Macaca mulatta: one gene and its partners. The protein of the gene in region 1 interacts with the protein of each later gene in a pairwise test. Links are inferred from orthologs where the notes say so. Each region holds a gene or a part of one and is shown in the gene's direction. Other genes may lie near its edges. The genes, in order: CERT1, ACTL8 and CSNK1G2.

What was found.
Region 2: the proteins of CERT1 (region 1) and ACTL8 interact in binary tests that used the Homo sapiens proteins (3 or more experiments, as listed by UniProt). The two-hybrid records come from large-scale screens. The link is inferred for Macaca mulatta from reciprocal best matches to the Homo sapiens genes CERT1 and ACTL8.
Region 3: the proteins of CERT1 (region 1) and CSNK1G2 interact in binary tests that used the Homo sapiens proteins (3 or more experiments, as listed by UniProt). The two-hybrid records come from large-scale screens. The link is inferred for Macaca mulatta from reciprocal best matches to the Homo sapiens genes CERT1 and CSNK1G2.

The regions. Positions count from the first base shown.
Region 1 is NC_133411.1:81,909,945-81,917,925, reverse strand, and holds the start of CERT1 (ceramide transfer protein), read left to right. Parts: upstream 1-3,017; 5' UTR 3,018-3,439; coding exon 3,440-3,535; intron 3,536-7,981. UniProt on the Homo sapiens protein: Shelters ceramides and diacylglycerol lipids inside its START domain and mediates the intracellular trafficking of ceramides and diacylglycerol lipids in a non-vesicular manner.
Region 2 is NC_133406.1:223,237,690-223,245,662, reverse strand, and holds the start of ACTL8 (actin-like protein 8), read left to right. Parts: upstream 1-3,183; 5' UTR 3,184-3,353; intron 3,354-7,973.
Region 3 is NC_133424.1:2,686,960-2,694,903, forward strand, and holds the start of CSNK1G2 (casein kinase I), read left to right. Parts: upstream 1-2,814; 5' UTR 2,815-3,059; coding exon 3,060-3,246; exon of another isoform or gene 3,247-3,247; intron 3,248-7,944. Other genes in the region: uncharacterized protein LOC144336971, read left to right, coding at 2,795-2,814. UniProt on the Homo sapiens protein: Serine/threonine-protein kinase. Casein kinases are operationally defined by their preferential utilization of acidic proteins such as caseins as substrates. It can phosphorylate a large number of proteins. Participates in Wnt signaling.

The DNA.
Region 1 (7,981 bases):
TATACGTATTAAAAGTTATGTATTACAAGCGTCTAAGGTCCAAAGCCTGGACTAGACTATTCACTAGCGATGATCTGGGCAATTTACTTAACTTCTTTGAATGTTAATTTCCTCATGTGTAAAATAAGAATAATGTCTACCTTGCAGGATTTTTGTGACGAGTGAATAAATCAAATGAACCTAAAACAATGTTTGACATTTTGTAGGCCTTTAGCAAATGACACTTGCTACTTACAAAAAGCTATGATGTTATTTGATTCTTTGGTCTCTGACTGATTTTAATCACGTTAGTGATTTTTTTCTTGGGCCCTGTTAATGGCAGTTCCTACAACTTCCCTTCAATTATCAACCAGGCTAAACTTATTTCATTCATCGGTTATTATTTACTGAAAACCTCCTACGTCACAGGCAATTTAAAATCTTTATTCACTTTCTACACATAATTATTGTCAGAATACCTAGACAGTAAAATGCTAGAAAACAATGACTCTACAGAAATGGTTTATATTTTACTTTTATAGTATCTCAGATGATCATATAGCAAGATCTTAATAAAGATCTTAAACAGGGATAAACTATATTTTCATAAGCTATCACCATAGCAACATGTATGCTCTATAGAAATATTTTTTCAACTTATTTGACTAAGAAGAAAAAGATTTGAAATTATAGAAGTGAAACAATAAAAGGGTTAGAAAAAAACAAGAAGCAAAACACGTTTACAAAATAACTATCATGAGGATTCTACTGATACATAAGATACCACCACACTGCTTTATATAGTATGCCTTTAAAATATTAATAAAATAATTTCTCAATCTAACAGGAAAAGCAATTCAAAAGCTAAGCAAAATAAAAACGAAAGAAAGAACATGTGTACATGCCAAGAGTGGGCACTAATACTGTTCATCAGTGTACTGTACTGTGTGATTTTTAGACTAAAAGGTTTTTCAATGTTATAGTGAAGCCTATGAAATACCAACTACCCTAACAAGTTTTTATCCCATAAACCAAACAGATATGAGTAAAAGATAAGGGAATATATTTTTCAATTTCATTGAATAGTAAGAATATTTCTCCTTGAAACATTCCTCGCCTGGCTCTCATTTGTACAACAGGAAACAGAATAAAAAGGGTGGCCTACACACCCTTTGAAATTCCATTTCTGAAATCACTGTCTTATTCTCGAATGTTAGAACTTTTTGTGGGATCTGACATATTCTCAAGTAGCTGTGAAGTGCATTAAGGTATCAATGAGTACCCCCATCTACCTCTTCCCTCCCACTTTTCCAAAAATACAGCTGCCTTTGGAACCTTAAATGGTAAAAATCAACAGATAAAGGAGTCTTAGACAGATATGCTAAGTCACCTTAAGGATCAAAGCTGCAGAATAAGACATGGCAGTATGAGCATAATACAGTAATAATTGACATTAGTAAAAGAATTCATCAATATAAATGGAGTGTGGATGGTCAGAAAAGGAAGTAAAAGAAAGCAAGATACATATTGGCAATGCCTACTTAAATATCCACTGCCACGATAGAGATAACCTAGCTTCATGCTACCAAACATTTAGAATCGTAATTAATCCCCCATTGAGGAAGTAAAAAATAGGAAACTGGGATATGGGAAAAGGTCATCAAGCCTAGATTTGAAACCAGGATATAAAGAGCTGGAATTACAGGCACCCGCCACCCTGCTCGGCTAATCTTTGTATTTTTAGTAGAGACGGGGTGGTCTCAAACTCCCGGCCTCAGGTGATCCGCCCAACTCGGCCTCCCAAAGTGCTGGGATTACAGGCGTGAGCCACGGCACTCGGCTAGCGTTTTCCCTTAGACTCGAAATTTCGCTCCTATTGTCCCATCCTTGTAGTAAAAAAGGTATTCTTTCTAAGGCTTAATAACAAATTTTACTCTTGGCAATTATCAGGAACTCGACTATATTAAAATAGCTAACGAGAGGAAATTACTGAAGCTACAAAGTCAAAGGTCTCACCATCAAAGTTATCCTTGACAACTGACAAGAGCTGTTAGATCTTCTTTTGGTCTTTCTGCTAATTCAACCCTAGTCTTAAAAATAGCCACCTATTGCCTAATCCCCTAATCTCGTATTTCTAATACGAGAAAGTTTCTATATATCCAAACTTTCCTATCTTTGAGGGGCAGGCATGGTTAACGTGGTTCTCAGTAAGATATTCATTTACAACTAAGAGAAAATCCCAGGCTATCATCTGACATTCTTGTTTTACTTTAAAAACCTTTCTAACGTTATTTATTCTCTGACAACCTCAAAATTACTTTCCACAAAGAAAATTCTAGAAATCTAAAAATGCGAAGTGCGTGCTTGTCAGAAGGTACTAAGGAAATTCTTCCTTTAAACGTCAAATGTGAATTCTAACTTCTAATGGGTAAGACCCTCGAGATTTACAGCGGTGGTCTGGTGGAAAGAAAACCCCCTTGGCACTAGGAGCTCACAAAACCCCATCCCGTGGTTGAGGCGGAAGCGGCTACGCGCTCCCGGGCTTTCGACAAGCAGCCCTGCAACGCAGGCCCGTCATCTTCAGCAGAAAGCTCTCTCACGTCCTGGCCCGCAAGCCCGGAGGGTTCGTCATAAACACACAAGGCAAGGATAGAAGCGAGGCCAAGAGGCAGGTCACGCAACTGTCAAACGAAGCCCACCCACCGACTGACAAGTCCCCAAGGCGACAAGCGATCCCCGCGCGGGATACTCACCCGTTACCTCAGGATCGCGACTACAACTCCCAGGAGGCTGGGCGAGCGACGAACCAACGCCCTTCCCAGAATGCAGCACAGCGGCATCCCTATCCCGCCCTCTCCTTACTGCGCTCCTCCTACTTTTCTACCCCTCGTCATCCGGGAGAGCCGGAGGTAGGGTGCGGGAGGAGGATCCCGCACGCTTGGCGTGTCGCGTCAGACGCCGGGAGGGGGACGGGGCGGGGAGGAGGAGGGGAGAATGGGAGGACGAAGGGGAGGGGAAAGGACAGGGGAGGGGAGGGTAAATAGTGGGCCAGGCAGCAAGATGGCGGCGGTAGCGGAGGTGTGAGTGTACTCGGGTCTCAGCGGCCGGATTTTCTCTTCCCTTCTTCTCCCTTTTCCTTCGCTATTTGAAATTGGCATCGAGGGGGCTAAGCTCGGGTGGCAGCACCGGGCGCAACGCAGGGGTCCCGGCGACGGCGGCGGCGGCTGACGGCTGGAAGGGTAGGCTTCCTTCACCGCTCGTCCTCCTTCCCCGCTCCGCTCGGTGTCAGGCGCGGCGGCGGCGCGGCGAGCGGACTTCGTCCCTCCTCCTGCTCCCCCCCACAGCGGAGCTGGCACTCTTCGCTTCGCCATCCCCCGACCCTTCACCCCGAGGACTGGGCGCCTCCTCCGGCGCAGTTGAGGGAGCGGGGGCCGGTCTCCTGCTCGGCTGTCGCGCCTCCATGTCGGATAATCAGAGCTGGAACTCGTCGGGCTCGGAGGAGGATCCAGAGACGGAATCTGGGCCGCCTGTGGAGCGCTGCGGGGTCCTCAGTAAGGTGAGCAACCGGTGGTGCCAGGGGACCCCTGGCCAGACTCACCTGCCGCGAGGCAATCCGCTGAGGCGGTGGGGTGGGGCTGGCGGGAGGCGCGGAACGTGCCGGGGTGCGAGGCTGAGTACTGCTGCGGCGACTAGGGATGAGGCGGGGATATAGGGGGCCTGTCCTTGCTGCCCGAGGGCTCGTCGGGGGCAGCCGAGGACCAGGGAAAGGGTGTATCAACCGGGGATCCAGTTTGGGAGACCAGATGCGTGCCGTGCCTTGGGACCTAGGGCGGCAGCTGTCCCGGGTGTAAGGAATCCGGGTTGGGCTTCAGCGGTGTCCGAACGACTGGGCACGGGAGCGGTTCAAGTCGGACCTCTTAAAAGAGGTTGGTCTGTCTGAGGATGCTAAGCCGAGTAGGTTGGGGGGCACTGCGGACGCAGCTGTTTCGACAGAAGCCGGAGCGACTCAGCTTGGTGTTGAAATTTGAGGTGTTGAACTCGCCAGGTTAGATGTAGTGAGACAGATTAATGTGGAGGACTTTCTCCCTCACCCTGTACCTTAGTTCAGAATAGAGATATTGAATCGGCACGTGATGGGTACAGGAAATATTCATAGTAACTTGAAACATGTGAGAAAGGAGACTGATCTTTAGTCCAGGAAGAAGAGCATTATTTAATAATAAACTCTTTTTGCGGTAAGGGGTCCAGGGTAAGGAAAAGATGTTTTACCTTTTATGTATTTTTTAAAATCCGTGTATCAAAATTTTAGGAAAGCAGCCATTATAGAACTGCAGATGGGTGATCTCTTGATATTACGTGGTTGGGATTTTTTTTTTTTTTAAGTTTTTGCTATAAGAAGATTCACATAGCCTTTTGGACTTCTCTCCCCCTTCCTGTTAAACTTTTTTAGAAATGGCTGGAGCTAGCAGTTAACTTGGAGAGGGGGAGCTGGGCCAGTCCCTCAACAAGCTGGTCATAAGATACTATGTCATGTGCAGCTACTGGCTATTAAGAAATCACCCTGTTTCCAGTATTCATACTTTGGCACATCACTTGGACATTATTTGTGGAATTGTTTAATATAATGCTTTTATAATGTCTGTAGAAAGCTAATGAGAAGGGAACTAGAAAAGGCATGAGTAGTCAGAACTAAGGATTGCAAGTGTTGACTTTTATTTGTATAGCCGAAAAATTAGTTGTATATTGATGCTGTGATCATTCTTGAAATTTCAATGCAAGGTTTTCAGTAACGAGAAGCTCCTCAGGATTTCTTTACATTAAATGTATCCTGTAATTTAGGAATCTCTATTGAACACATTGTGTAGTAGGTACACATTTTCAGTTGATAATAGGAAGTGGGTTACTTGCTTCTCAGTGATTTTGATAGTTTCATCACTGCTCATAAGATGGGAAGCTGACTGCCATATTAGTAATGTGATGTGTTGAGTATTTTACAAAACAAATTGTAATTTTGACCTACTGATAATTACTTTTTTGGGGGTTGGGGGAATGGAGTGACTGGGGGAAAAAGTCACCAGTGCTCTGAGTTTTACTTTATGTGGAGTAGGTATACTATAGATCAAAAAATGGAAGACCAATCTCGATATTTAAATGCATACAAATGCATTTGATCACCTCTGTGGAAGGTGAATAACTTAAATTTTGACTGTTGCTTCTTATGTAGAATGAATAGGAATACAGCTTTTGGTATTCTTGCTAATAGCTATGAAGGAAATTTTCCTGAGATTTACCAATTTATGGTTATATACAGTGTTTTCTGGAAACTTTTTAATCAAGGGTATTCTAAATTGAATATATATACTCATACTGAGTATGGTGCATGTTTTTAAATGTAAATTATATATTTTGAATTCTTCATATTCACCTGGTAATTTAAACAAGGATCAGAACTCGGCTTTTGTTCTTTTCCTTCCATTGAATAATGTAAATAAGTCCCGGTACAATTTGTTTCGTTTGTCCCCCAAAATGGGGTGGATTTGGAATGGGCTTGGGTAAATTTATATTAGAAATATACCAGTTCAAAGGGTATTTTCCATATGGTAATCTGAAATATATGGAAATACCTATGAAGCATATTTCTTATAAATCACTTAAGTGTATAGATTCCAAAAATACTTGATAGACAATAATTCTGTCTGGTTATAACAAGTATCGTGATGGATCATGGTGGGGAAAAGATGCATGCCTTAGTAGGACTTGAGAGCAACTAAGGCTGGATAAAATAATCTCATTCAATTTCTGAATTTCCTCCATCCTTCATGGTTTACCTTCTGTTTTTGCACACACTAAACTGTTTGAAATTCTATCCATCCTTAAGAGTCCAAGTCAAATACTGTCCTTTCCGTAAAGCCTTTTTGTATTTTGCCATCATTCAAGACCTCCTTCACTTGAATTCCCATAGCATTTTGTTTTATTCTAAATATATATTTTTTTCTCTTGTGTTTGTGTTTGCTGGCCTGTTTGCCACAGTAACATTCAGTTCTCCTGCAATGTCTAGCATATTGCCTTGTCTGTATTTGTTAAATGGGGAAGAGTGAGGGAACATTATGAGAGCAGAGAAAAGACAAAAAACTTGTCTTCCAGGTGTCATAATAACAGCTAACAGCTTACTGAGAAAAGAGTCCTGAAGCTGATATAGTTTGTTCAGCCTCTTACAAGAACATAATATTGAATTACGGATACATAATTGCTGGGGTCCCTTCTCTAATATTGAAAGAGTTCTGTTCTAGTGAGAAATGCTGAAGGTTAAGCTTCATTAGCCATGTATAACTCTTCCTCAGATTCAGAAAATACTATGTCCAGGCACTGTTCTAAGTCTATTCTTGTTTAAACTTAACTCTGAGAGACAGAGTTTGACAAAGAAAAGAACACAGAGTAAGTAACTTGACCACTATCACAAAATTTAGCCTTATGAAGTGTGGTAATTATAAATGAGGTAAGATTAATCCATGGTGGGTCTTGAATGCCCTAAACAATTTGTATGACAGTCAGTGGGAAGTTGTCCATGTAAGTTTTGGAGCTGGAGACTCAATACGGTCAACATGTAAGAAAAGTAAGCAAACATGCTTAGTAAGTAAATAAGCTTGTGTAAATTATGAAAAACACAGAAGATACTAGAGAAAAGATTAAGTCCTGTAAGGAATACAGGAACTGGGTAATTTGATTGGAATAGTTGAAAATGAGAAGAGGAGGCAAATTTAAGGGTTTACTATGAAGGAAAGATAAGCAGGTTTTGGTGATGGGCTATAAATATTGAGAAGGAACACTTAGGAGTATCTTCTGTGACTATGCTAGGCATTTTCATTATTTTATTCAGCCATCAATCAACAGGCAAAGAAACTGAAGCTTACAAAAGTAACTTGTCAAAACTCTCTTCACGTGAGTTGTAGAGTAGTTGAGCCTGTTTAATCCTGTATACACTAATCTGTTTGTATATCTAATACACAGACTCTGAGCAGAAGTAGCAGGAAAGAAGAAGTAGGAAAATAGGAAGGAAGTACACCTTATAGAAGTAAATTCAGTTTTGTTGGTAACTATCATTTATTTCAACCCTTTGTCTAAGTGGTGGTACATCACAAGCGGTTAGAAATAAGGAAGTGGTGATTAGGAGCCACTAGAATGAGTTAAATTGTCAGCTTGGATGAGTTCTCAGAGAGGGGTTGTAATGATGGGGCTTAGAAAAATTAAGAACTGGCTAGGGATGGTGGCTCACCTGTAGTCCCAGCACTTTGGGAGACCAAGGAAAACAGATCCTTGAGCCCAGGAGTTTGAAACCAGCCTTGGCACCATAGTGAAACCTCATCACTACAAAAAGTTAGCCAGACGTGGGGGCACGCACCTGTAGTCTCAATCACTTGGGAAGAGGAGGAAGGAAGATTGAGCCCGGGAGGTTGCAGTGAGCTGAGATGGTGCCACTGCACTCCATCCTGAGTGACAGAGTGAGACCCTGTCTCAAAAAAATACAAAATAAAAGAAAATTTAAGAACTGAATAAATCTCAAAAATGCTTAATTAGAGAATAGAAAAAGATTTCTCAGTGGATATAGAGCCTGAGCCAATGCAGTATATTTTGGCAATCCATTTTTAATTAGTTTTTGGAATTGGCAGATAGTTTTGAGATTTTTCTATACTTAAAACCCCAGAGCATAGATAAAAACATGCAAAAATAAGTAGTCCTGTAAAGGTTACATTTCTCCCTTTTCCAGTTTATTGTGATGTTCACTGTGCAGCAAGACTTTAGCAACACAGAAACTCTTTTAAGGTATTGAAGGCAATCCTATATGTTTTTGAAAACCAATTTTATTTTTGTTTTATTACTCTTGAGTTTGAAAAATATATGTTCAGAGAAACTTGGAAAATGAATTGGCCATTTTAAATATTATTCAGTTCTGTAGAGGAGAAGTTAAAGTTGATGCCAACTTACTAAAGATTATTATTTTTAT
Region 2 (7,973 bases), on another chromosome or scaffold:
CACATATGGAGGCAGGTTACATGGGCAAGGCCTACATCATCAGTGGGGTGGGGAAATACACTTTGCCTCCTCTGATGTGAGGCACTGCACAATCACATCGCAAAAGCAGGGATGCCTAATTCTCTAACAGGGAAGCAGGAAGAACAGGCCACAATAATCCAATCACCCACAGTGTGGGCTACAGACTTATGCTAATAATATTGTACTGCATTCTATCAAACCTAAGCTGCAAGACACACCATTAATTTATGTACCACTAAGAAAGAAAAGTGGCTGTGAACTAAAGTATGGCATGATGCTTTCTTAGCCCATCATATTTTTATTTTATTCTTACCGAAAGAGCTATTTGATGCTGAGGCATGGAAGTGTCAACAATGGGAACAGCTGGAACCAGGTTTGCTCTTGCAGAGACAATGACGACTGTCACAACTGTCACTGTCCAAGGAGATTATGAGATCCATCGGTTGTAAGACACATTTTGATTTCAAGGATGTGAAAATGTGAAAATGTGTGTCTTAGAACGGATGAAATTTGTCATTTACCGAGAGTAAGTGGTTGTTCTGCGGTGGACGCTGCTAAAAGTTCTATGTGGATAAGCTCATTTGTACCTCAAGACAACCCAAGAAGAAAATATTATTATCCCCATTTCAAAGATGAGTAGAGCAAGATTCAGAGTGATCATGAGGTGGGAGGCAGGTCTTGACTCCGGATGTGGGGCTTGGACACTGGACCAAATGGAGGACTAGCTAAAACAGACGGGGCAAAGCAGCTTTCTATAAGGCACATCCACCAGTAGGCCATGTCAGTTTACCATTGCCATGGCAACATGCAGGAGTTACCACCCCTTTCCATGGCAATGATCTCACAACCCAAAAGTTACTACCCCTTTCCTAGCAATTACTGTATAAACCATCACTTAATCTCCATGTAATTAAACATGGGTATAAATATGACTGAGACTGCCCTGAGCTGCTGCTCTGCCTATGGGTAGCCCTGCTCTGCAGGAGCAGTCAAAGGCTGGAGCTGTAACACTGGCCCTTAAATAAAATTCTGCTTTCTTCTACCCTTTCTTCTCACCCTTGAATGTTTTCCTGGAGGAAGCCAAGAACCCTCATGGGCCAAGCTCTGCTTTGGGGCTTGCCTGCCCTGCATCAATCAGTTGCCCTGCCCAAGACCCATGGTTAGTAAGTGGAAGAGCTGAGATTTGAACCTAGGACGGTCTGACTTCTAAGACAAAGTGATAAAGAGTGTGGGCCCTGGGACAAACTATACTTCAGTTTCTTCATCTGTAAAATGGGGACGAGAGGAGTAATTACCACATAGATTATTGTCATATGAGAGTTCCGAAAAGAGCGTCAGGCACAGAGCACTCAAGACATGCTGGGTTCTCTGGTAGAACCAGAGATTTTTGCCTCTCTGAAGCTAACATTAGTGTAATAAAAACTGCAACTGGACTAAGAGGAGAGGACTATGGGAGCCCAGAAAAGCAGGCCAATAGATTAGTAATTTGGGGGAAACATCAGAAATTTGATGTGAGAAGAGCAAAAAGAATGTGTGATTCATGTGTGCATTTATTTATTCAAGAATATTTGTTTACCCACTGTGTTAGCCTGTTCTCATGCTGCTAATAAAGACATACTCAGAGCTGTGTAATTTATAAAGGAAAGACGTTTAATGGACTCAGTTCCACACGGCTGGGGAGGCCTCACAATCAAGTTGGAAGGCAAAGGAAAGTCATGTCTTACATGGCAGAAGGCAAAAAGCTTGTGCAGGGGAACTCCCATTTGTAAAACCATCAGATCTCATGAGACTTATGATCATGAGAGCACTATGGGGGAAACAGTCCCCATGATTCAATGATCTCCACCTGGCCCCATCCTGGACACTTGCGGATTATTAAAATTCAATGTGAGATTTGGGTGGGGACACAAAGCCAAACCATATCACCCACTGCGTACAGGTAGTACACAGTGACTGGATTTGAAATCAAGTTTGGGGGCTAATTTTAAAAAACTGAGGTATAATTTATCTGCAATGCAACACACAGATCTTAGTGTTCAGTATGAATTTTCACAAATATATACAGCACCCCAATTGCAATAGAGAGTACTTCCATTGCCCTAGAAAATTCTATTGTGCCCCCTTCCAGCAAAATAAACCCATCTCCACCTGTATTTTTTTTTTTTAAATTTTTGTCACTGTAGGTTGCTTTGCCTGTTCTTGAACTTCATATTGTGAACAAATGTGAACCTGAAAGTGCCAGATCTTCAAGATGGATCCTGAGTGGCTAAGTGGGCCAGGCTCCGTGGTTCTTGCCTGTAATCCCAGCACTTCCGGAGGCCAAGGTGGTGGGATCACTTGAGCCCCTGAGTTTAAGACCAGACTGGGCAACATAGCAAGACCCTGTTCTCTACAAAAGAAATAAATACTACCCCCCGCCCCCAAATCAGAATGGCTAAGTGGGCCTAAATTTAAAATAGAGTGAAGCAGCCACTTGCTGACTAGGGTTCACATAAGTACCCTGATTTCTCCCGAAAACCGGTACCTTTTTATCTTTGGTACTTTCCCAGCTTACCTGAACCAACCAATCAGGGCTCAAGTATATCAACCAATCAGGGCCTGGCTGTATCAACCAATCAGAGCTCAGCTGTATTGACCAATCAGAACTAAGCAAGTTTCAATCCTTCATTGGCACTACTTGATCTGATTGGGAACCTGGGCAGGAACTTTTGCTGTAAAACCTGATCCTTTCCCTCATTCTTAGGAACTCCCCTTCATTTTCCAGTGGAGGGTGCATCTCCAAGTTTGCAAACTGTTTTCTGTACTAAAGTCTCTTTCCTCCAAATTCCTTTTCAGATAACTTGTGCATCATATAAGTGGAAACTTACAGATTGTGCTGCTTTGTGTCTGGTTTCTTTTACTCAGCATAATATGTATATGATTAATGCATGTTGTTTTATGTGTCAGTAGTTATTTTCTTTTTCACTGCTGATATTTCACTGTTGCTGGTTATCAAATTATTGCCTCTCTGCTCCACATTCACCCTTCTTGCCTGCTTGGTGAAAATGGATCTGGGCCCTTTAAATGTTCTCCCTGGCCAGCGGGCATGCTGGGCTTTGCCAGTAGAGGGCGCTGGGGAGCCCTAGCAGCGGGGAGGTTCCACTTCCTGGTTGCCACGTGCTCACAGGGTAGGCTCCGGCACCACGTGCAGCCGCTAGTGCTGGCGCTCGCAGTGCACGGGGGAGGTCGGCAGCTCCCACAGCAGCGTTTTTGAGTAGTTTTGCAGTGAGTGCCTCTTGTGAGACACTGCTTCTGAGAGCAGCTTTTGTGGCATCTTACAGGGCAGATTTCTGGTGAGTTCTACAGGTTGAATTTCTAATAACTTTGGCTGGCTGTGGCCCCTGTTTTTTTTTTTTTCTTCCCATGGCACAGATATGCCCTCTTAAGCAAGGCCTGGATGTCAGCCCCCAAGGGTGTGTGTGTGGGACACTTCTTTGTGGGGGGCAGGGGGCGGTGACAGGCTCTACCTAGATTTCAGCTTTTGGAGGAGACTCTTCCATAGCGGCTGTACCTCAGCCACATGTGTGGGGCTGAGGGTCCTTCCTTGGGGGTCCTAGCTTAGCCTCTTGTTGGGGCACCTCCTGAAGGGGTTTATCTTAACCTGGTGGAAGACCCCTTCCCTGGGGTAAAGGGCTCTTTTTGGGTTGCTATCTCTATGTCAGGGTCTCTTTTTGGGGCTCTATTTCAGTCCTGGGGTGGGGGGCTGTTCCTCAACCCTGGGAGGGCTTTTTTTTTTTGAGGACATTGTCTCTGCCACAGGGGCAGGAGGGTGTTTCTTGGGGACTCTACTACAGCCCTCAGGGGTTTTTTCCTTGTGGACTTTATTTCAGCCCTGGGAGGGAACTCTTCCTTGGGGGATCAATGACAGCCCTGGGTGGCCAGGCGGGGGGCCCTTCCTTGGTAGCTCTGGGAACTCATCTTTGGGGCTCTACCTTATCCCTTGAATAGGGGTTCTTCCCAGGAGCTGTGGCTCAGCCTTGGGGGCCTCTTCTTGGGAACTTTTTTTTAACCTCTGGTGGGGGACTCATCTTTGGGGAACCTATGAAAGCCCCCAAGGGCTCTTTCTTGGGGACTCTATCTTGGCCTTGAGGGGTTCCTCCTTGAGGGCTTTATCCAGCTCTGGTGTGGGGGATTCTTAGCAGGGGGTTATCACAGCTCTGGGTGGGGTCTGGTCCTCAGAGGCTCCATCTCAGCTCTGTGGGTTGTGGTCGCTCTTTGTGTCTGCTGCTTCTGTATTAATTATCATTCTTTTTACTCCTTATAGTCAATTTCTTGTTAATTCAGTCCTCGGTTATAAGTTAATAATTCTTCATATGAAACTTTCCCTATAAAAATCACTGTATAGTTTCCTTAACTGTACCCAAACTGATACAGAATTGGTGTCAGGAATAGGTATCAGGAGATGGACCCACAGAGGTACCATTTGGGGATTGGTTTTCTGGTGATTTTGGGCTTGAGTGAAAAGTTCCTTGCCAATGGGAAATGGGGCGCTAGTTACTCAAGACATGTGGTGACATTAAAATTAATCAGTCTATCCCTTGTGGTTGATTAAGACAAAATGCCACCTGAGGCACTTCCCTTGGGAGCCAGAGTGATGCTGCACTTGACTGTGTGACCATAATGAGGACTGTGAGAACTGTGGAGTGGGATGGATCCTTTTGAGGGCTTCTGTCTTCGAGGAACCAGATACAATGCTCTATTTAAAACATGTATAGGCAGGCCGGGCACAGGCATGGTGGCTCAGGCCTTTAATCCCAACACTTTGGGAGGCTGAGGCAGGCAGACTGCTTCAGCCCAGGGGTTTGAGGCTGCAGTAAGCTACGATTGCACCACTGCACTCTAGCCAGGTGACAGAGCAAGACCCTATCTCTAAAAAAATAATAATATCATAAAAATTTGACAAATGTGTAGATAATGACATAGAAAATGACAAGCCCAGGTCCATTAACTCTCTCCTTGAGCCACAGTCTGAGAATCAGACAGCTTCTATGGCAGCCCTTAAGGAAGTTCTTATTTCTTGCAGCCACAGGGCTGATACTGCCGAAAATCAAACAACAAATTTAATTGTGCTGGTTGCTGAATTATGACAACAGTTGGAATCACATCTGGACAAATTAGGGCATGAATTGTGAAAGAATGGGATCCTGAAACATGGAGTGGGGACATTTGTTGAACTGTGATGAAACCAACAACCTAAACTACAAGTCACTCTGAGCCCACCACGTCCCTCAGCTTATCAAGTGGAAATACCTTGCCCTCCTCAGTGCATGAGGAGACTGGTCTTCCTCTGTTAAGAAACCCTGTGATAATCTCGGCTGGGGCAGATGTCTTGAAAGGCGATGCCCATTCTCAAGACTCACCACAGCCACCTGCTGTTGTCACTAGACCCTAGCTGTGGTCAAATCTCAGCATGTTCCATGGTGATGGGTACAGACTGACCTAGGAGGAAACAGAAAAAGAATGACAAGACTGGTGACACACATGGGAGTGGATTCTAAGGATTTTAGATCCAGAAAGGCAGAATGTAACCCTAGATTGGGCTGAATGCCTTAATAGGGGCACACTCATTAGAGGTTCTGAATTTGGCTGTTAGCTTCTGCAGCTGGAGGTGGCTCTAGCAACTTGGTTGGTTGACTGAAACTTGGACTTGACAGTAACCTGCAGTTAATGAAGGTTGTGATGTCATGATGTGGAGGAGGGAATCCAAAGGCTCGGGGAGACCGCAATGTTGGACTGCATGTATCATGTCTAATCTGCACTCTCCTGCTGCCACCACCTATGTTCCACAAGAAGGACCCAAAGACAGAGACATAGAGAGATCCATTAGTGAGGGAGCCCCTTTGTCCTTGAAATGCATGGCGGCTGCTCTCTTTTGTAGGCCACTGTGAATATAGAGGCTGCCTCCATTGAGTTGGGCTCCCTGATTTCAGTGGGGATAAGGGGGTCCTGAAGTAGCAGAGACCAAGGGGCAGCACTTTACTGTCAAGGACAAGGTAGGCACACACTGGAAAGGGTAGCAGGAATGTATGGGCTGGCAGAATGCCTTTGCCCATCGGGATTTTTAGTGGTGGTGAATTGATCAGAGTGTTTCTGGGAATGAAATAAGTGGGCAGCCTACTAGAATATTATTTCATGTATTTTTATATGTGATAGAAAGTTCTAGACCCAGTAGCCAAAACATGGCAATCGACAGTCATGGCTTCTCATCCAGTTTCCAGACCCTGAGTTAATTCACAGACCCAGAATCCCTGGGTGGCCGGGTCACCTTGAGGAGGGAGCCTGCATCTGCCATAAATACTTATTGTAAATCTTCCTCCAAACCTTCCTCCAAAGGGACCTGTGACCATTTACCAGAATAATGGGGAAATGGACATACCCAGACAGTTCTGGAGTTACTTGACACTCACTCTGAACTGATGCTGGTTCCTGGGGATCTAAAATGCCACTCTGGTTCATAAGTCAAAGTGGGGCTTGTGATGGTCAGGGATAGAGTCTTAGCTCTAGTCTGACTCACAGTAGATTTGCTTGGTCCATGCCCACCCTGAAGTTATTTTCTGAGCTCCTGAATAAACAGTTAAGTAAGCACACTTGGTGATTATCCATTTTCTTCTCTCTTCTTCCCATTTTTGTTTTATATGGAAGTTTTTGGAAGTCAACTTTGTAGTATTTAGGTGACAGAATGTTCCATGGAACTGTGATTGGTATTTAAGTCATAATAAATATAGTCCACGATGACTCCTGGGCCTATTAGTTTCCTTGTTTTGGGGAGTGAGAACTTATAAGAATGATAACTGTATCTTCTTAGATAGAAATACACCGTTGTGTTGTTATACGGGACTTCAGTGGTGTGCAGGAGGATTCCTATGGAAGGCAAGTAGTCAAAGAGATGGCCTTTTCTGGGTATCAATTACTGCTTTTCAGTGTCCAATCACCCTTCTTGCCTGCCTGGTGAAAATGGATCTGGGCCCTTTAAATTTTCTCCCTGTCCAGGCAGCAAGCTGGGCTTTGCCAGTAGAGGGCGCTGGGGAGCCTCTGCAGCAGGGACCTTCTGCTTCCTGGTTGCCCCCTGCTCACAGGGCCTGCTCCTGCAGCACGTGCAGCTGCTCAGTGCTGGCTGCTGTTTTGCTCAGCAGAGGCCAGCAGCACTTTCTTTTAGGCAGTTTTGTAGTGGGTGCCTCTGGTGAGACACGTGTAAGCAGCTTTTGTGGCACCCTGTGGGGCAGATTTCTGGTAAGTTCTACAGGTTGGCTTTCTTGCAAGTTCTGCTGGTGTGCTCTAGACCAACTCTTTTTTCCCCTATGTAGGGAGGCACAGCCATACCGTCTTCAGCAAGGCCTGGATATCAGCCCTCAGGGGTGTTTGTGGGAGGATGCTTGTTTCTGGGTGGAGGCTCCTCCTTGGGCATTTTCTCAGCCCAAGTTGAGGAGCTGTTATTCAGGGGCTCTGCCATAGCACTGGAGTAGAAGCCTCTTCCTTGAGGGCTGGACGTCAGCCCTGGAGAAGCTGCGTTTGCATGATACTCTAGCTCAGCACTGGGTGGGGTGGGGGACTCTTGCCTCTGAGGGTCTCTTTCAGCCCTGGGGGGCAGCAGCTGCTCCTTTTGTCTCCTAAACCTATATTCTTCAGAGTTCCCTTTCCTTCTTTCTAGCCAATTTCTTATTAATTCCATCTCCCATTATGGTTAATAATCCTTTATATGAAACTTACCTATTCAAATGACTGCCCAGCTTCCCCCTCCTGATAGGATGCAGAGTGATGCCCGTCGTACACACTGGCCACAGTTTGTCCACGGTTTTCCAATTTGGGGCTATTATGAATAATCTACGACGTGTATTCTTGAGTGGACGGGCTTTTTTGTGTGATACGTTTTCGTATCTCTTGGATAAATACCTTGAATGGGGTTCCTTTGGGAA
Region 3 (7,944 bases), on another chromosome or scaffold:
TGATCTCGGCTCACTGCATCCTCCGCCTCCCGGGTTGAAGCAATTGTCCTCCCTCAGCCTCCCAAGTAGCTCGGGCTATAGGCACGTGCCACCACGCCCAGCTAATTTTTGTATTTTTGTGTAGGGGGGTGGTTTCGCCATGTTCCCCAGGCTGGTCTTGAACTCCTGAGTTCAAAGCAGTCTGCCCACCTCAGCCTCCCAAAGTGCTGGGACTACAGGCATGAGCCACAGTGCCCGGCCAAGTCTCACTGTTTTTGAGGCAAGGTCTCACTGTGTCGCCCAGGCTGCAGTGGAGAAGCAGAATCACAGCTCACTGTAGCCTCTACCTCCCAGGCCCAAGCGATTCTCTCACCTCAGTCTCCTAAGTAGCTAGGACTACAGGTGTACACCACCATGCCTGGCTAATTTTGATTTTATTTTTGTAGAGATAGGGTCTCCCTGTGTTGCTTGCCCAGGCTGGTCTTGAACTCCTGGCCTCAAGCAGTCCACTTGGGTCAGCCTCCAAAAGTATTGGGGTTACAGGCAGTAGCCACCGCACCCGCCCACAACTCTCATTATTGAGAAATACATTTGTAAGACTCTGGGTGCTTGTAGGTGCCGTGGAGAGCAATCACTCTGATGGAGCTGGGGAAATTGAGTAAATTGAAACCCCCGGAAAGGATTTGCCATTCTAGAGACCGTGCAGGACACGTGTGATCCATGGGAGGAGGTCAAATGGCAGGATTCGTGGAAGTTTGGAGGAAGTTGATCCCAGGCCTGAAGGATCACTGTGAGGGTTCAGGACTTCCATGGAGGAGGAACTGCAGAGGTTTTAGAAGCAGGAAGACAGCTAGAATGAGAGGAACTTGGAGATGTGACTGCAGTGCTGCCATCTCACAAGAAACTTTCACACGTGAGGAGTTGCCTCTTTTTTTTTTGAGACGGAGTCTTGCTCTGTCACCCAGGCTGGAGTGCAGTGGCGCGATCTCGGCTCCCTGCCAGCTCTACCTCCCGGGTTCACGCCATTCTCCTGCCTCAGCCTCCCTAGAGCCGGGACTACAGGCGCCCGGCACCGCACCTGGCTAATTTTTTGTATTTTTAGTAGAGACGGAGTTTCACCATGTTGGTCAGCCAGGTCTCGATCTCCTGACCTCGTGATCTGCCCGCCTCGGCCTCCCGAAGTGCTGGGATTCCAGGCGTGAGCCACCGCGCCCAGCCGAGGCGTTGCCTCTTGAGGGTGAGCAGGGGAGTTGCTTCAGCTGCTCTGTAGTCCCAGTGAAGGTTCTGTGAACCTGGTGGAAATGAGGACAGAGGACTTGGAATAGCTCGGAACCTCAGTTGACGAAGCCGCGGCTGGGTCGAGAGGACCGACTGCAGTTTTGAAAGACGTTCTGCTGTGGGTGATAAATGCTATCAGACAGCATCACGCCCCACAAAGAAATCTTTGATGAAAGGAAGAGTCGGTTGCTGCGGCCGACTTTTTTGTGGTCATAGTTTAAGAAGTTGCCCTCGCCTCCGGCAGCCGCTGCCCCGATGAGTCAGCCGGCGTCCACGTCGAGGCAAGACCCTCCTCCAGGGAGATTAGGGCGCACTCACAGTCCGACGATCGTTAGCGTTGTTTAGCAGTAAAGTATTTTTATTTCTCTCTTATTTAGTTAAGATGGGGTCTCGCTGTATCACCCGGGCTGGAGTGCAGTGGTATGATCATGGCTCCCTACAGCCTCCGCCTCCTGGACTCAAGCGATCCTGCCGCCTCAGTCTCCCGACTAGCTGGCACCACAGGCTTGCGGCACCATGCCCCACTTAATTAAAGTGTGTCCGTTCACAGTGTACCACGGCATACCGTGGTACACTGTGAACGTAACTTTTGTGCGCACCAGGAAACGAAAACATCTGAGTGGCTATTGCCGCGTGGAACCCCAAGGCACGCTTGCGATCACCTCAGGGTGTTTCTCGTACCAGAACACGGTTGCCACGTGCAGTGGGGCAGTGCTTGTGACGCTGGTGCCTTTGTTTCTGTTGTGGCTTATTCAGCTGGGAGTTCCTGTCCTAACATTTTCGGCGATGGCTGTGCACCCGTGGCCCCTCCTCACCTGCCTCCCTCAGGCCCCGCCATACCCTTCTCAGCTCCGCTCTGCACCGAAGGGGCTGGGTGGGACCCACCCTGGCATTGTCACAGCCCCGAGTGGTGTCCAGCCTGCCCCGCTCCACCAGTGGCTGCTGGAGAACGACCCGAGCCTGGGTCAGGCCGTGGGGATTCCTGCAGCAGCTTACGGCTCGCTGGGGCCTCCTGCCCTCCGGTCCACTCTCCCCACTTTCAGTGTCCCCTGGCCGCCATGGGCAGGGGCAGCTCTGTGGCTTCTGTGTCCCTGCCTCAGGTCTGCCTGCTGTCATCTGCCTCCCTCCCTCTTTCTCAGAGCAGCCCTGGGCCTGGAGATGGGGACTGTTGTGTGGCCCTTCTGTGTCTGGGGGTGCGACTGACCCCTGGCTTCAGGATCCTCAGGGCCTCTCCCTGGGATGGGCAGGCATGCCCTCCCAGCAGTACGTTCTCCCACCTGTGCCACCCACCCACCCATCTTGCTTCACAGAAAGGCCCCTGAGCCCTACCCTGTTAGTCTCTAGGCAGCCACGCCGAGACCTCTGGCCTCTAATGTCATGTGGCACGTGCTTCCCAGCCGCGTTCCGGGCACGGGCAGTGCTTGTCGTGTCCCGGCCTTCAGAGCTCCTTCCAGCCCGGCAGCCCCCTGGCTGCGTCCTCTGTGGCCTCCGCCCCGTGTCCTCGCCGGCGCTCACCTGTGCCTCTGTTTCTCCACAGCTGTGAGCCGTGAGCTTTGAGGCGGTGGGACCTGTCAACAGAATGTCTCCTGCCCCCGAGAGCCACCCCAAGGCCACTGAGATGAGCACCGCGGCCTGGCCGGCCCCAGTGCCTGCGTCTCAGTAGCCGGGAGCCGCGGGCCCACGCCCGCCCGCCAGCCGCGGTGATGTTCTAGCCACAGAGGAGCCAAGACCTCAGGTTTCCAGAGACTTGGGATTTGCACGGCAGCAGAGCCACCGTGGAGAGGCCAGGGTATCACAAACTTATGGATTTTGACAAGAAAGGAGGGAAAGGGGAGACAGAGGAGGGCCGGAGAATGTCCAAGGCCGGCGGGGGCCGGAGCAGCCACGGCATCCGGAGCTCGGGGACCAGCTCGGGGGTCCTGATGGTGGGCCCCAACTTCCGCGTCGGCAAGAAGATCGGCTGCGGCAACTTCGGGGAGCTCCGCCTAGGTGAGGCCCTGCTCGTGGCTGATGGGGTGGGAGGCTGCTGGCAGGGCCGCACGGGGTCACCGGAGCCTCCAGTGGGGCCGCACGGGGTCACCAGAGCCTCCAGTGGGGCCACCCGGGTCACGGGATCCTCCGGCGGGGCCGCACGGGGTCACCGGAGCCTCCGGCGAGGCCACCCCGGGTCACTGGCATGTGTTGAATCATCTGTCCATCGTGGTATGAGTGTCACTTCCCTTCGAGGAAGCCCCATGGGGACAGTGGGTTTCTGGCCCTGTCACCTTTTCGGGAAACAATTCAGTTGGGAGGCAGGTGGCCCAGAGCAGGCCAGGCCATGCCGCAAGGAGTCCGAGTATTAAGTCATGAATGACTTCCACAGCCCATGTCCGTGCTGGGCAAAGCCCTGGCCTTAACCGCAGGCGCCAGCACGGAGCCAGCGTCGGGTGACTGGAGTGACTGTTTTGTGGTGATGACGCTGCTGTGTGCCACTCCCAGCTTCACCGTGTAAAACGCCGCACCAGGCCCACCTGGCTCCATGCCTTCTGCTCACACTGACCTCTCCCGGGTCGCGATCTGATTGCCCGGGCAGGCGTGAGGAGCAGGGCCGAGGACTGAGCCTGTTACTGGCCAGGGGCGCCTTCCCTTGGGTGGGGGTGCCTGAAGATGACCACCAGGCCTGGGGGAGCTCTGAGCACGTTTGGGGCCAGTGGCAGTTCGTGATTAGCTGTGCCAGGGAGCCGGATCATCCCCAGAAATACTAAATTCATTCCTGGTGCTGCTGGGTGTACGGCCAACGCCGAGCTCCTGCGGGAGGGCATTTGGCGTCTGTTGCTGGGGTTGTCCGGAAGACCCAAGTGCACCCCCGGTCAATGTCTGTCGTGGTGGGAGTCGGGGTCTCTGGGAAAGGGCGCAGGATGGGCAGGTCTGGGAGGCCACGGCAGTGGATCAGCCTCACGTGGGCACCCACGGCAGGCAGTACTGGAATCCGGCCCCTCGGCCCAATGAGGTTGTCAGATGAGGGAAACTGAGGCCCAGGCAGTGGGTATGTTGTGGTTGCACCTTCAAGAGCGGCTGCCCAGGGGTGCAGGAGCATGGGCTGTAGCCACCTGGACCCCAGGCATGTTTTGTGACCCCGCTTCCCACCTGCCTCAGTTTACCCACCTGTTAAATAGGGATGAATGGTAGTTGCCACTGTTCAGAAGTGGGTTCAGCAGGCAGTTACGTGGCAGAAGTGTGTGTCCTGAGTCAAGCAGCTTCTCCCAGGCGAGCGCAGCTGTCGGGGTCACTGTTGGCTGCCTCAGTGTTCCCATTGGCTGCACCCGGGGCCCCAGGAGGCCCGTTTGAGACCCCATCCCGAACCAGATTCCACCCCAGCCCTTGGGGAGGCTGCTGGGATTCCACTCTTTTGCGCAGAGGCTGGGCTTGGGCGCCACTGCCTGTCTGATGGCCTGTGGCTCGGGAGGCCCCGGGCTCCGTTTCTCAGCCAAGAGAGTGAGCTTTTCCCGACGGTAGCTGTGGCCTCCCAACCCTGTGTGTGTGCGCACATACTCAGACACACGTGCAGACACATGCAGATGTGTACACACATGCCCACACACGTACATGTGCACACTAAAGCACATGCACACAGGCACGCACAGCCACAACCATGTGCACACAGGCACATCTGCACACACACGCCTGGCACAGCCCTGTGACCTGCAGCCTGCGGGATATGGCTTTTGGGGACCCAGATGACTGTGTGGGTCCTGTCCTTGAGCGGTGGTTGCAGGCCGCTGAACAGTGCAGGTCCCCGTAGGCAGGTGAGAGGTGAGAGTGACATATGGGTGATGCCAGCTTGCCAGCCTTTTTTTTTTTTTTTTTTTTGAGACGGAGTCTTGCTCTGTCGCCCAGGCTGGAGTGCAGTGGCGCGATCTTGGCTCACTGCAAGCTCCGCCTCCCGGGTTCACGCCATTCTCCTGCCTCCCAAGTAGCTGGGACTACAGGTGCCCACCACCGCACCCGGCTAATTTTTTGTATTTTTAGTAGAGACGGGGTTTTGCTGTGTTAGCCAGGATGGTCTCGATCTCCTGACCTCATGATCTGCCCGCCTCAGCCTCCCAAAGTGCTGGGATTACAGGCGTGAGCCAACGCGCCTGGCCATTTTTTCTATTTTTAGTAGACATGGGGTTTCACCATGTTGGACAGGCTGGTCTCGAACGCCTGACCTCAGGTGATCCACCTGCCTTGGCCTCCGAAAGCGGTGTTACACACGTGAGCTACTGCACCTGGCCTGCTTTTTTTTTTGAGACAGAGTCTTGCTCTGCCCAGGCTGGAGTGCAATGGCGCAATCTCAGCTCACTGCAACCTCCACCTCCTAGGTTCAAGCAATTCTCCTGCCTCAGCTTCCCAAGTAGCTGGGATTACAGGTGCACCCCACCACACCCAACTAATTTTTTGTATTTTTTAGTAGAGACGGGGTTTCACCATGTTGGCCAGGCTGGTCTCAAACTCCTGACCTCAGGTGATCCGCCTACCTTGGCCTCTGAAAGTGCTGGGATTACAGGCGTGAACCACCATGCCTGGCTGACCCCGGAAGTTTTGGACTGGCCCAGCCTTGCTCTCATTCTTGGGTTCTGGTTCTGCGTGTGACGCAAGTGCTTGGCGCTGTCTGCAGGTCCCTCGGCCCTGGCTGTTTTCCCTAAGTCTCTATTCTCCTGGTGTCAGGCTGTGCGGCTGCTGCTGCTTGCTGTAAGTTTACTCTTTTTCTACAGCCTCCAACCCTGGAAGTCCATGCGGTGCATCTTTGATCGCTTAGTGGCATTTTTCAGTTCCGTATGATTCTCCATTCGATCTCAGCTGAGATTTCCCATGTGCACATTGATTTTGGCCATCTTTTCCTTTACATCTTTGAACATGTTTGTGCTGTTTCTTAGTCCATTTTGTGCTGCTATAACAGAATACCATAGACTGGGTCATTTTTTTTTAATTTTTTTATTTTATTTATTTATTTATTTTTTGAGATGGATTCTTGCTCTGTCGCCCAGGCTGGAGTGCAGTGGCCGGATCTCAGCTCACTGCAAGCTCTGCCTCCGGGTTTACGCCATTCTCCTGCCTCAGCCTCCCGAGTAGCTGGGACTACAGGCGCCTACCACCTCGCCCGGCTAGTTTTTTGTATTTTTAGTAGAGACGGGGTTTCACCGTATTAGCCAGGATGGTCTCGATCTCCTGACCTCGTGATCCGCCCGTCTCGGCCTCCCAAAGTGCTGGGATTACAGGCTTGAGCCAGCGCGCCCGGCCTTTTAAAATTTTTTTTGAGATGGAGTCTTGCTCTGTTGCCCAGGCTAGAGTGCAGTGGTACGATCTTGACTCACCACAACCTCCGCCTCCTGGGTTCAAGTGATTCTCCTGCCTCAGCCTCCCAAGTAGCTGGGATTACAGGCGCACACCACCATTCCCAGCTAATTTTTGTATTTTTAGTAGAGATGGGGTTTCACTGTGTTGGCCAGGCTGGTCTGGAACTCCTGACCTTGTGATCCGCCTGCCTCAGCCTCCCAAAGTGCTGGGATTACAGGTGTGAGCCACCGCGCCTGACTGGGTCATTTATAGTGAACAGAAATTGACAGACTCAGTGTTCTGGAGGCTGGCAGTCTTCAGATTGAGGATGGCGTCTGGCAAGGACCTTCTTGCTGTGTCATCCCATGGTGGAAGGCAGGAGGGCAAGGACCGGAGGGGGCTGGATTTGCCCTTTAATCAGGAGCCCGCTCCCATGCTGATGGCATTCATCCATCCACCAGGGCAGTGACCCAGCCCCAACAGTGCTGGATTGGGGACCCAGTTCCCAACACATGACCCTTGGGGGGGTGCATCAAAGACACAGCACTGTGTGGAATGACGTCTGTGCTGCTGCTGACTTTCTCGCTTGTCACGGTCACACCCCCTTCATTCACCTGTGGGACAGCCTCAGTGGGTGTGGCCGTGGTGTGTGCCATGAGGTGTGGAGGGTGCGGTCTCCCAGCTTGAGCGCTGCGTTTGTCCCTGTGGCTCACCTTGTTTCTGTCAGGGTTGGTTTCGGTGTTGCTGGGGCAGGGCCGAGGGTAAACATGAGTGACTCCAAGGCCAGGAAGCCCTGTGCCAAGCTGTGGACCTTTTGGGTTCTCAGCTGAAGTCAGAGAATCCAGGGAGGACCCCGCGCTCCGGCTGTTGGAGGTGTAGCATCCTCCCGCCTGTGTGTCCCCCGGAACCTCCTGAGCCTCTCTGGAGCTGTTCTCTGCCAGGCCCCATGGGGTCTCCTGCCCTCTGCCTGCACCGCGAGTACTGCCGGAGAAGCCCCTTCGGCTTTCAGAGCCCAGAGCGCCCGACCTCCTCCAGGCGTCTGAGATCCACAGGCCTCAGACGCTGCCACACCCGCCCAGCGCACACCCAGGTCTCTGAAATGCCGTCTGCACACAGCGGTGGGGTCAGGCGAAGGTTTCTTCCACAGCGCAGAGTGGAAGAGCCGGGAAAGACCACATCACCATCAGAGGCATCAGAGCTTCGAAGGTCTGCTCATCACGACACTGCCAAAAGCATGAGGCCAGCCAGGCTGGGCAAGACCGAGCATCCGCCTAAGTGTCGGGGAACCACAGCCGGATGATACATCGACAGACAGCGGAGGGACGGCGCAGCACACAGGCGAGGGCTTGGCCTCTTCCGTTGGGGGAGCGCAGCTCAGCCCTTGGTGGT